2 linked regions of the Nothobranchius furzeri genome follow. The protein of the gene in region 1 purifies or fractionates together with the protein of each later gene. This does not show direct contact. Links are inferred from orthologs where the notes say so. Each region holds a gene or a part of one and is shown in the gene's direction. Other genes may lie near its edges.

Evidence for each region.
Region 2: the proteins of gba2 (region 1) and ilvbl purify together in Homo sapiens (co-immunoprecipitation; 3 studies listed by BioGRID and IntAct, counting the BioPlex papers as one, with this or other methods). This does not show direct contact. The link is inferred for Nothobranchius furzeri from reciprocal best matches to the Homo sapiens genes GBA2 and HACL2.

Annotation. Positions count from the first base shown.
Region 1 is NC_091742.1:60,124,458-60,128,870, reverse strand, and holds the start of gba2 (non-lysosomal glucosylceramidase), read left to right. Parts: upstream 1-1,404; 5' UTR 1,405-1,625; coding exon 1,626-1,819; intron 1,820-4,413. UniProt on the Homo sapiens protein: Non-lysosomal glucosylceramidase that catalyzes the hydrolysis of glucosylceramides/GlcCers (such as beta-D-glucosyl-(1<->1')-N-acylsphing-4-enine) to free glucose and ceramides (such as N-acylsphing-4-enine).
Region 2 is NC_091753.1:25,156,471-25,160,293, forward strand, and holds part of ilvbl (2-hydroxyacyl-CoA lyase 2), read left to right. Parts: intron 1-2,886; coding exon 2,887-3,021; intron 3,022-3,819; coding exon 3,820-3,823. UniProt on the Homo sapiens protein: Endoplasmic reticulum 2-OH acyl-CoA lyase involved in the cleavage (C1 removal) reaction in the fatty acid alpha-oxydation in a thiamine pyrophosphate (TPP)-dependent manner. Involved in the phytosphingosine degradation pathway.

The DNA of each region.
Region 1 (4,413 bases):
GTATGAATGGATCTCCATCCGTCCGTCAGCACAGGCAAACGGCAATTAGCTGAAGTCTATTTTTTCCTAAAAAAGTTATTTTATTACATACCTCGGCCTCAAACGAGACTGCGAATTAGTTCAACGTGTGTCTAAATTTACTACTCTGAAATAAAAGTACACAGTCTGACATTACATTCTATGTATTTGGACATACTAGCTAAACTAGACGGCTGCGAGCTACCGTAAACATAACAAAATGTACATGGTCTGCTTCCGCTACTGGACAACAAATCACAACTCAGAGGAAAACAGAGTGGTCCTAAAATTTAGTCATATAAATAAATATTCATTTGGGATTATCAATAGCTAAAATACTAACAAAAGATCTAACAATTCTTGTTTTATTTTCAAATTCTATTCAATTAAAAGTCACAAATAATTGCAGGAATAGTTTTTCGTTGGCCTTTGTTTTGACTACTAGCATTGAAAGTCAGACGTTGCTACCATTAACTCGTGGGGAGGAAAATACTAAACATTTCACAATAAATAATAAATGTGCGCTATTCTCATCACGAATTCATAAAACGTTTTAATTAAATGCAAGTTTTTTTTCAAATTCGCCAAATTATACTAATTTTGTCAAATGGAGGAGGAAAAAAACAGAATTAGCCAAATCCCCCCTTTTATGGTTCAAAATGGTAGCGCCTCTTTCGGTTGTGGGCTATACACTCCGAAGTAAATTTTGCCAGGCCGTACCTTCTGACAACAAAATGATTTTTTACAACAATCAATGAAGTAAGTATAACCAGTATGCTGAACATTGGGTTCACCTTTCCTGTAGAGATGGTTTATTCTCAAACAAGGCTCGTTTATTAAAGTGTGTGTCTGAAAGTCAAGGAAAAGGGTAAAATTTAGCGCTACAGTAACCCATTAAGAATTTACGTGTAGAGCGAAGCGCTAACAGAGGCTACACTGGTCGTGTTTGAGCGGTATATTGCGCTGTCGCACAGGTTAATTCTAAACTACCATCTACAATTTATTGATGCTGGCTGCTAGTAAACAACTCCGATTGTTCGTAAGCTTTAAAGAAATGCTTTGCTGTTATTAAATGTAGTGTGAGCGAGGTAATAAAAATATTGATTTTCAGTTTTTTGCCGGTTACTGAGAGAAAAGGCTTGCAACAACATTTTGTCCCTCCTTTAACTTTTGTCATATCTTTTTCACAATTTAGTTGCGCTCTCTGATGTCATTGCAGATGTTCCTGCTAAGTGATTGAGGCATCTTCTGTACTTCCTGTTGCTCGAAACCCTTTAGCCATCCAATCTAGTCTCTACTTGGTGCTGTCAGCTCCACAGTCACACCCGGACCCATTCGAGGGATGCAGAGCGGTCTAGTTTGAGGACCTTAAAATGGCACCAGGGCCTCCACCTTGACCAGGATTACTCACTGAGAACCGGTTTATGATCCCTCACACTGCTCACTCAGCACACCTGTAACTACCTCCTCTCTGTTTTCTCCCCATGGTCAAAGCACAGTTGTGTTTACCAAAGGTGGTGGCAGCCTTCTGTCAAGTATTTTTGGCTCCCTTCCACCAACTTAAAGATCTCTAATTCCATTTTTCCCACTATAAACCTAGTTTAAATATGACTTCAGATTGGGGAGAGAAATCCTCAGCAGAGCTTATGAGCAGGTATGTCTCCAAGGAAATGGGATACAGGGTGCCCAGGGAAGGTTGGCGAATCTGTTTGGCGCATGAGTTCACGGAAAGGAGGAAGCCCTTTCAAGCAAAAGATGTGTCGCTTTCTAATGTCTGGGACCACATTGGCCTTGGAATCAGGTGAGACATATCTCATTTTAGCATCTAGCAATGATGTCATATTTTAATCTCTTTCTTGAAGTGAGATCACAATGCATGCACATTTCAGACTTAAGTTTGTTTTTGAAAACTTTTGCGATTTGCAACATCACTAGCTGAAGTGGCTGAAACTATGACGTTTGAGATTAACTTATGCTTTAACGTGGTTCACTCAGTAAAAATACTCCATAGCATCAGATTTATTTATGTTTAATTAAGGGCAGCCACATATTGTGTAAACAATACAATGCTACTCTTATAAACAACAGTCTGTGCTTATGCTGACACAAAGCAATGAGAAAAAGACAAGGCATTATCTATCCAGCCATCCATTCATTTTCCTCCGCTTATCCGGTTTCGGGTTGTGGGGACAGTAGCCTAATCAGGGAGGTCCAGTCTTCCCTCTTCCCAGCCACTTGGTTCAACTCCTCCGGGTGAATCCCAAGGCATTTCCAGGCTAGCTGAGAGACATTGTCCCTTCAGAGTGTCCTGGGTCTTCCTTTAGGCCTCCTCCTGGTTGGACGTGCCTGGAAAGCCTCACCAGGGTGATGCCCAAGCCACCTTAACTGGCACCTCGATGTGGAGGAGCAGCTGATTTTCTCCAAGCCTCTCCTGGATGACTGAGCTTACCTATCTCTAAGGGAGAGCTCAGACACCCTGCGGAGAAAACTAATTTTGGCCACTTGTATCCGTGATCACATTCTTTTGGTCACTACTCAAAGCTCGTGACCATAGGTGAGGGAGGAAATGTAGCTCAACCAGTAAATCCATAAATTTGCCTTCTGGCTCAGCTCTCTTCACCACGACAGATCGGTACAACGCCCGCATCACTACAGACACAGCATCATCCCGCCTATTGATCTTGCGCTCCATCTTTCCGTCACTTGTGAGCAGGACCCTGAGATATTTAAACTCCTCCACTTGAGGCAGGACCTCGTCCCTGACCCGGAGAAGGCGTTCTACCATTTTCCAACTCAAGACCATGGTCTTGGATTTAGAGGAGCTGATTCTCAATTCAGCTGCTTCACACTCAGCTGTGAACCACTCCAGCGGGGAGCTGGAGATCACTGTCTGACGAGGCGTTATTAGCTACCTAATGCTTACAAACGCTAGTTATGCTAATGCTAATGCAAGAGCTGGCATTAGCAGAAACATGTAATCACTGACTAACAGTAAAGTCACCTTGGCAGATACAAGCTACAGACAGTCATCAAGTTAAGAAATCATACATGACTTTGGGTGTTTCTCAATGTCAAGGCGCCTGGCCTTGCGAGATGTCTTGCGAGGCCAGGTGCCTTGCTTACGAGGACACTGTCCTTCCTTGGTCAAAAAAAAAACAATTAAATGGAACAGACTTGCATCACGTGACCGGTCACGTAACGTCACGTGACACGGGAGATAACATGTTTTATACGTATAAGTTTCAATATAAATATATAACAAGCCTTTTACTTTTTAAATTGTAAGTATTGGTTAAATTAAATATGTAAGCGAGTTACTACCCGCTAGCCACCGAAGCTGCAACTACTAAGCAACTAACCAACCGTAGATAACATTTTAGATATCAACCCGTCAATCTGTGTTTTAAAAAGAACTGAAAGATGGAATCAACCCGATAGCTACAATTAGTTGACTTACGTTTAAACTTTAAATTAGCCCCTGAAGTAGCTGCCGGCTTCTGATCCGCCATCCTTTTGAAAATACTGCGGTGTATTGTGGGAACTTTCTGACTAAGGCTAGGCTACAAGTCACCTCCTGTGCATTCTTGCTCAGCTAGCTAAACGGCTAACAAACGGAGAACCGATGCCTCGGTAGAACATGAACATTGGAACACGTCTTGGCGGTTCTTGATGACGTATTTCCTAGGCAACCGGAGCGTGACCAAGACATCAAGGCAAGGTTCCATGGCATTGAGGCCCTTTGTCTCACAAAAAGTGATCAGGCTTAGTGTGTGTCACATCTAAACTGGTCCGGGCAGAAACAGTCCAAAAGCATGCTCTAATCTCGGTCTTAAGCACTACAAATTATTCTACAATCAACATATTTGAATTCCTAATTTTACTCATCTATATGTCACAGTCACCTTTAGGCTGTTTGATAGAGGGCGTTCAATATGTTTTTTCTATAGGTCAATGTCAAGTTTATTTATATAGCATATTTAAAGACATGTAGACAACGCCAAAGTGCTGAACAAGGCTAGGAAAAACACAACACAATCAAGAACAAATTGCGGTTGAAATTTGTAAAAACAAATGCATTTAATACTAAAAGCATATACGCTAAAAACACAAGTCAAATTAAAGCTGTAAGCAGCGTCGTTCGGTCCTCGCAGCTCCGCGCCGCTCTGTCCTGGCCGGCAGCCAGGTCTGCTCGTCCGCACCTCACCCTGACTCAGCATCTCCTCTGAGCCCACACTTCCTGTTGTCAGGGGGCGGGGCTTAGTTGATCTCAGCTCTCCAAATTGTCATCGTCTTGACATGTGGTCTGTGATCACACAGACAAAGTTTGATATAGATCTGATCATGTGCATGGGAGTAATTACGTCAATGAATGTAATGGCGAAAGGTCAATGTTTG
Region 2 (3,823 bases), on another chromosome or scaffold:
TAAAACTATTTAACATGCAGATAGTTTTATATTTAATTAAGAACAGATGTGCTTAGTTATTTATCCAATCAGGAACATGTATGGATCAGTTTGACAATTCACCTTAGAATAAAACCTGTAGAGAATGACAAAATAACTACATCTTTTAATTTACAAAGCTTCATTTCATTTCTTAGTTGACACAACATTGTATGTATGTGTGTACTGTATGTTCCATGAACTGACAACATGTAGGCTATTCGACAAAATTCTGTGTTAAAAATAGAATGAAGATGGTTGCAACAGAACAGAAACGGGCCTTCCCACATCTCATTTATGTACTCCCTACCGGAGTCACAGGTTTGACAGATAAAGCGTGGGCGTCACAAAAGCAGGAGCAAATGCTGACTCGGAGCAAACTGCCCTATTGACGGGATAAATACCCCTTGCCCACAAACCTCTTTGAATGGTTGTCATGTTTACAGCAAGATGGAATGCTGTAGTTACAAGTTCTGGTGTGTTGTGCATGTCATTGTTTTTCCTGGATTACTCAACTTCCATGTAGAGGCAGCAGTGTTGACTTGTCTCTTCAAGAGACCACAGACGGTCAGATCCGGGGGCTGCAGGTGGTCCGAGCAATAACAGCCCCGTTCTGTTTGGTGTAGTTCAGCCCATCGGATGCTGTGGTTGTCAGGGAGCAACAGGCATGGCCTCTGTTGTACTTTGTGTGAGTGCTGCAAAGTGCTCTAGAAAGTACAGAATATTCTCCTCCATCCGTCCACTGGGCTTTGCACCTTCTACACATCCTGTGGGAACAAAGCTAAGAAAATGGAAAGGGCTGAGACATCGCAGGCCAGGGTCACCAGGGTTCCACCCTCTGCTTGCTTGTAGTCTCTTAGCTTCTACCTTATTTAGTTTGTGGACCATAGTAATGCCTGTTTTATCCACTATCCAAGTGGACTGGGGCCCAAACTGATGTCCTTTCTTCATGTGCTCCAGATCAGTGAAGAACAATCCAAAGTGTGCTTTTGAAGGCACTGGCACATGTAAACATAGATTTCTAGATGTTCAACACCATATATATGTATTAATTAAATAAATAATAATTTTCTAGCCTTTCAACAATGTAAAAGCGACTACAACACCTACATTTGCTTTTGTGCTGCATAACTGCCCAAACAAATACCACATGGCCACCCCCCTCCCCTCCCTCTCATAAACACATACCCAAACAGCAACAAGATGGAAACAAACATTGGTTGTTAATATCGGCGTTTATCTTTTTGGACTGATAACGATATGCTCAAAAATGACCAACATCGGCCAATACCGATTTGATGCCGATCTATCACGCATCCCTAAATATTAATGTATCCCACGGTGGGCAAAATACATCTCCCAAATCTCTGATGGACTAATTTTATTATCATGTCAGTGTTTGATCATTTATATGAAACTCCTTTGCAGTACTTCTGATAAACTTGTTTTACAGTCTCACAGCGTGGACTGTCCTGAGCATTATATCATATGGTGTGTGGCCATAGCTGGTCTTCCTGACCTATATTAGATACATTTACTTGTTAACAATAGGATTTTGAAAACCTTAACCACCAGTGAATGTCAAGTCTCAAACTCTCAACCTGAAAACATAGCTGGTCTGTTAGCCTGGCAAGCCATCCTACATATGTGAACATATTTTCTGGCCACGGCCCACTGACGGGTCTCCGTTATGGTGCGGGATTTATGGGTGCCTTTAAAACCGTCTCTGTATGCTATTGGACAACAAACAACGTGACCTACTCACCGTTACGGATGTCAGTCATGCATCGTTGAAAAAGATGCCGATTCTTTTTCTAAATAAAAGACTTTAAAAGTCTCTTTCAGGAGTATTTCTCTCGTCTGATGGCACCATCTAGTGGCTGACAAGCATATCACACAAATCATTTCTCCTTTTGTTTTTTTAAGATGGCGACTTCAAGTTTCTTGTTTATAAATGTGCTTCTGTAGCCGACAAACAGAGCTAAAACACGTTGTTTTATGAGTATTATTCTCATGTCTTGTTGTGTTCTCATATATTTATATTTTAGAGACTTTCTTGTTCATGAAAAGTTCATCAACTCTGCATCAGCTGAGGTAATCCTTAGAAACATCTAAGCTGTAGTCTAACGCTATTGGTTAGTTCTGGTTGGCGCTCAGTTTCCTATTGCACGGAGCTCTGCAGGGCAGGGGCGTGCTTAGCAAAAAAAAAAGAGACATTGCTTACATTATATCACAGTACATGATAAGATAATCACTCTTATGGATTTCTGAAAAGTCATACATAATTTCTGAAAGAGAAAAACTCCGGAAAGATCCTTTAAGTACCTCTATCTTCTCTTGACTTAAATAAAAGCCCAAGTCTAAATAGTTCAAAGTTGATGCTAAAGCCGTTTCAAACGACTCGTTGCCGTCTTGGTTTCACTCGGTCGCAGTAAAGCCCCGCCCACCAAACTGATAGAGCTCTGTGATTGGCCAGTTACAAGACTTTCCGGGGCTGCAGAGGTTCCAATGAAGCGTGGCTAGCCTGACATGCAGAGCAAAATCGTTTAGCTTCTGCTACTAACGTTCTAGATTTCTCGGCAACTATTTGTGACAACTATTTTTTAAACCAACCAACACCAGCATTTATAACAGCGCCCTCAGGGGAGTGACATTCAGCAGCTGTGAAAACCAACCGTCTTCTCTCCTAAATGTTTAAAACAATACTTAATAACATTTAGAGTAATTAGATAAAAGTAATTATGTTTTAGGGGTTTTCTGGTTTTTATTTTTGGTTTCAGATACGGTGAGCATTTCAACTGTAGTGAGTAGACTAGTCAGAAATGCCTAAATTCATTTAGTTGTGTTGGGATTGATTGTGTTTTGCAGGCACCGTGTGTGACTTCCGCCTGAGCTACGGCAGAGTTCTCAGCAGACGCAGCAAGATCATCGCAGTCAACAGAGACAAGTCACAGCTGCTGAAAAACTCTGATATGTTCTGGAGACCCACTGTAGCAATTCAGGGTACGCTTGCAACCTTCTGTCACCACGATCAAATCATATGACATGTATGGTCACATTAGCAACACAGATGTTGAATGTGTTCAAATTCAGGGGCAGCATCCTTGTAGGGGCTCAGCCTGCCGAGTCCATGTAGGTCAGTTCCTTACTCGACCACCAACACTGGCTGAATTTGGATGGTCTAGCCTTCAGATTTAATCCTGCTCTTACCTCAGTATGTGTCCTGTTGCCTAGCAACTTTGATGGCACTAAAAAGAAGTTGAAACTAAACTTAACAGCAATGCATGAAGAAATACAGGACCCACCATTTGAACTCATTTGCAAAGATTTTTCGTATTTCTTTTTTGACAAAAAATATATTTAGAAAAACAACAATGCAAACAACAAAAGCCTAACAGCACAGCTGCTTTAGGCTTTTAATTTTTGCACCACCATACGTTAACATACTTGCATTTAAAACTGTAATCATCTCCTGCTATGTCTACCATTATTACAAGAACAAAAGTGGGGCCCGTAATGAGTCTTGGGACAGGAGGAATACATCAGACCCATCCTAGAAAATAAGAGTGTATTTCAGGACACATTCTGTTTATTTGGTGAATCTGGAAAGTCTTGTTGCTTTAATGAAACATAATTGGCCCTAAAATGTGGACCTGGAAGACCCTGAATTTGGACACAACTATAACTTTGAAAAATAGCGTCCTGTTTCAGTGATCATGAAAAAAGTATCGCCAAATAATAACCTGTTTGACCCTAACCTGAAGTCAAGCCTCAAATGTGCTTTTTAAAACAACTTGTTAGGTGA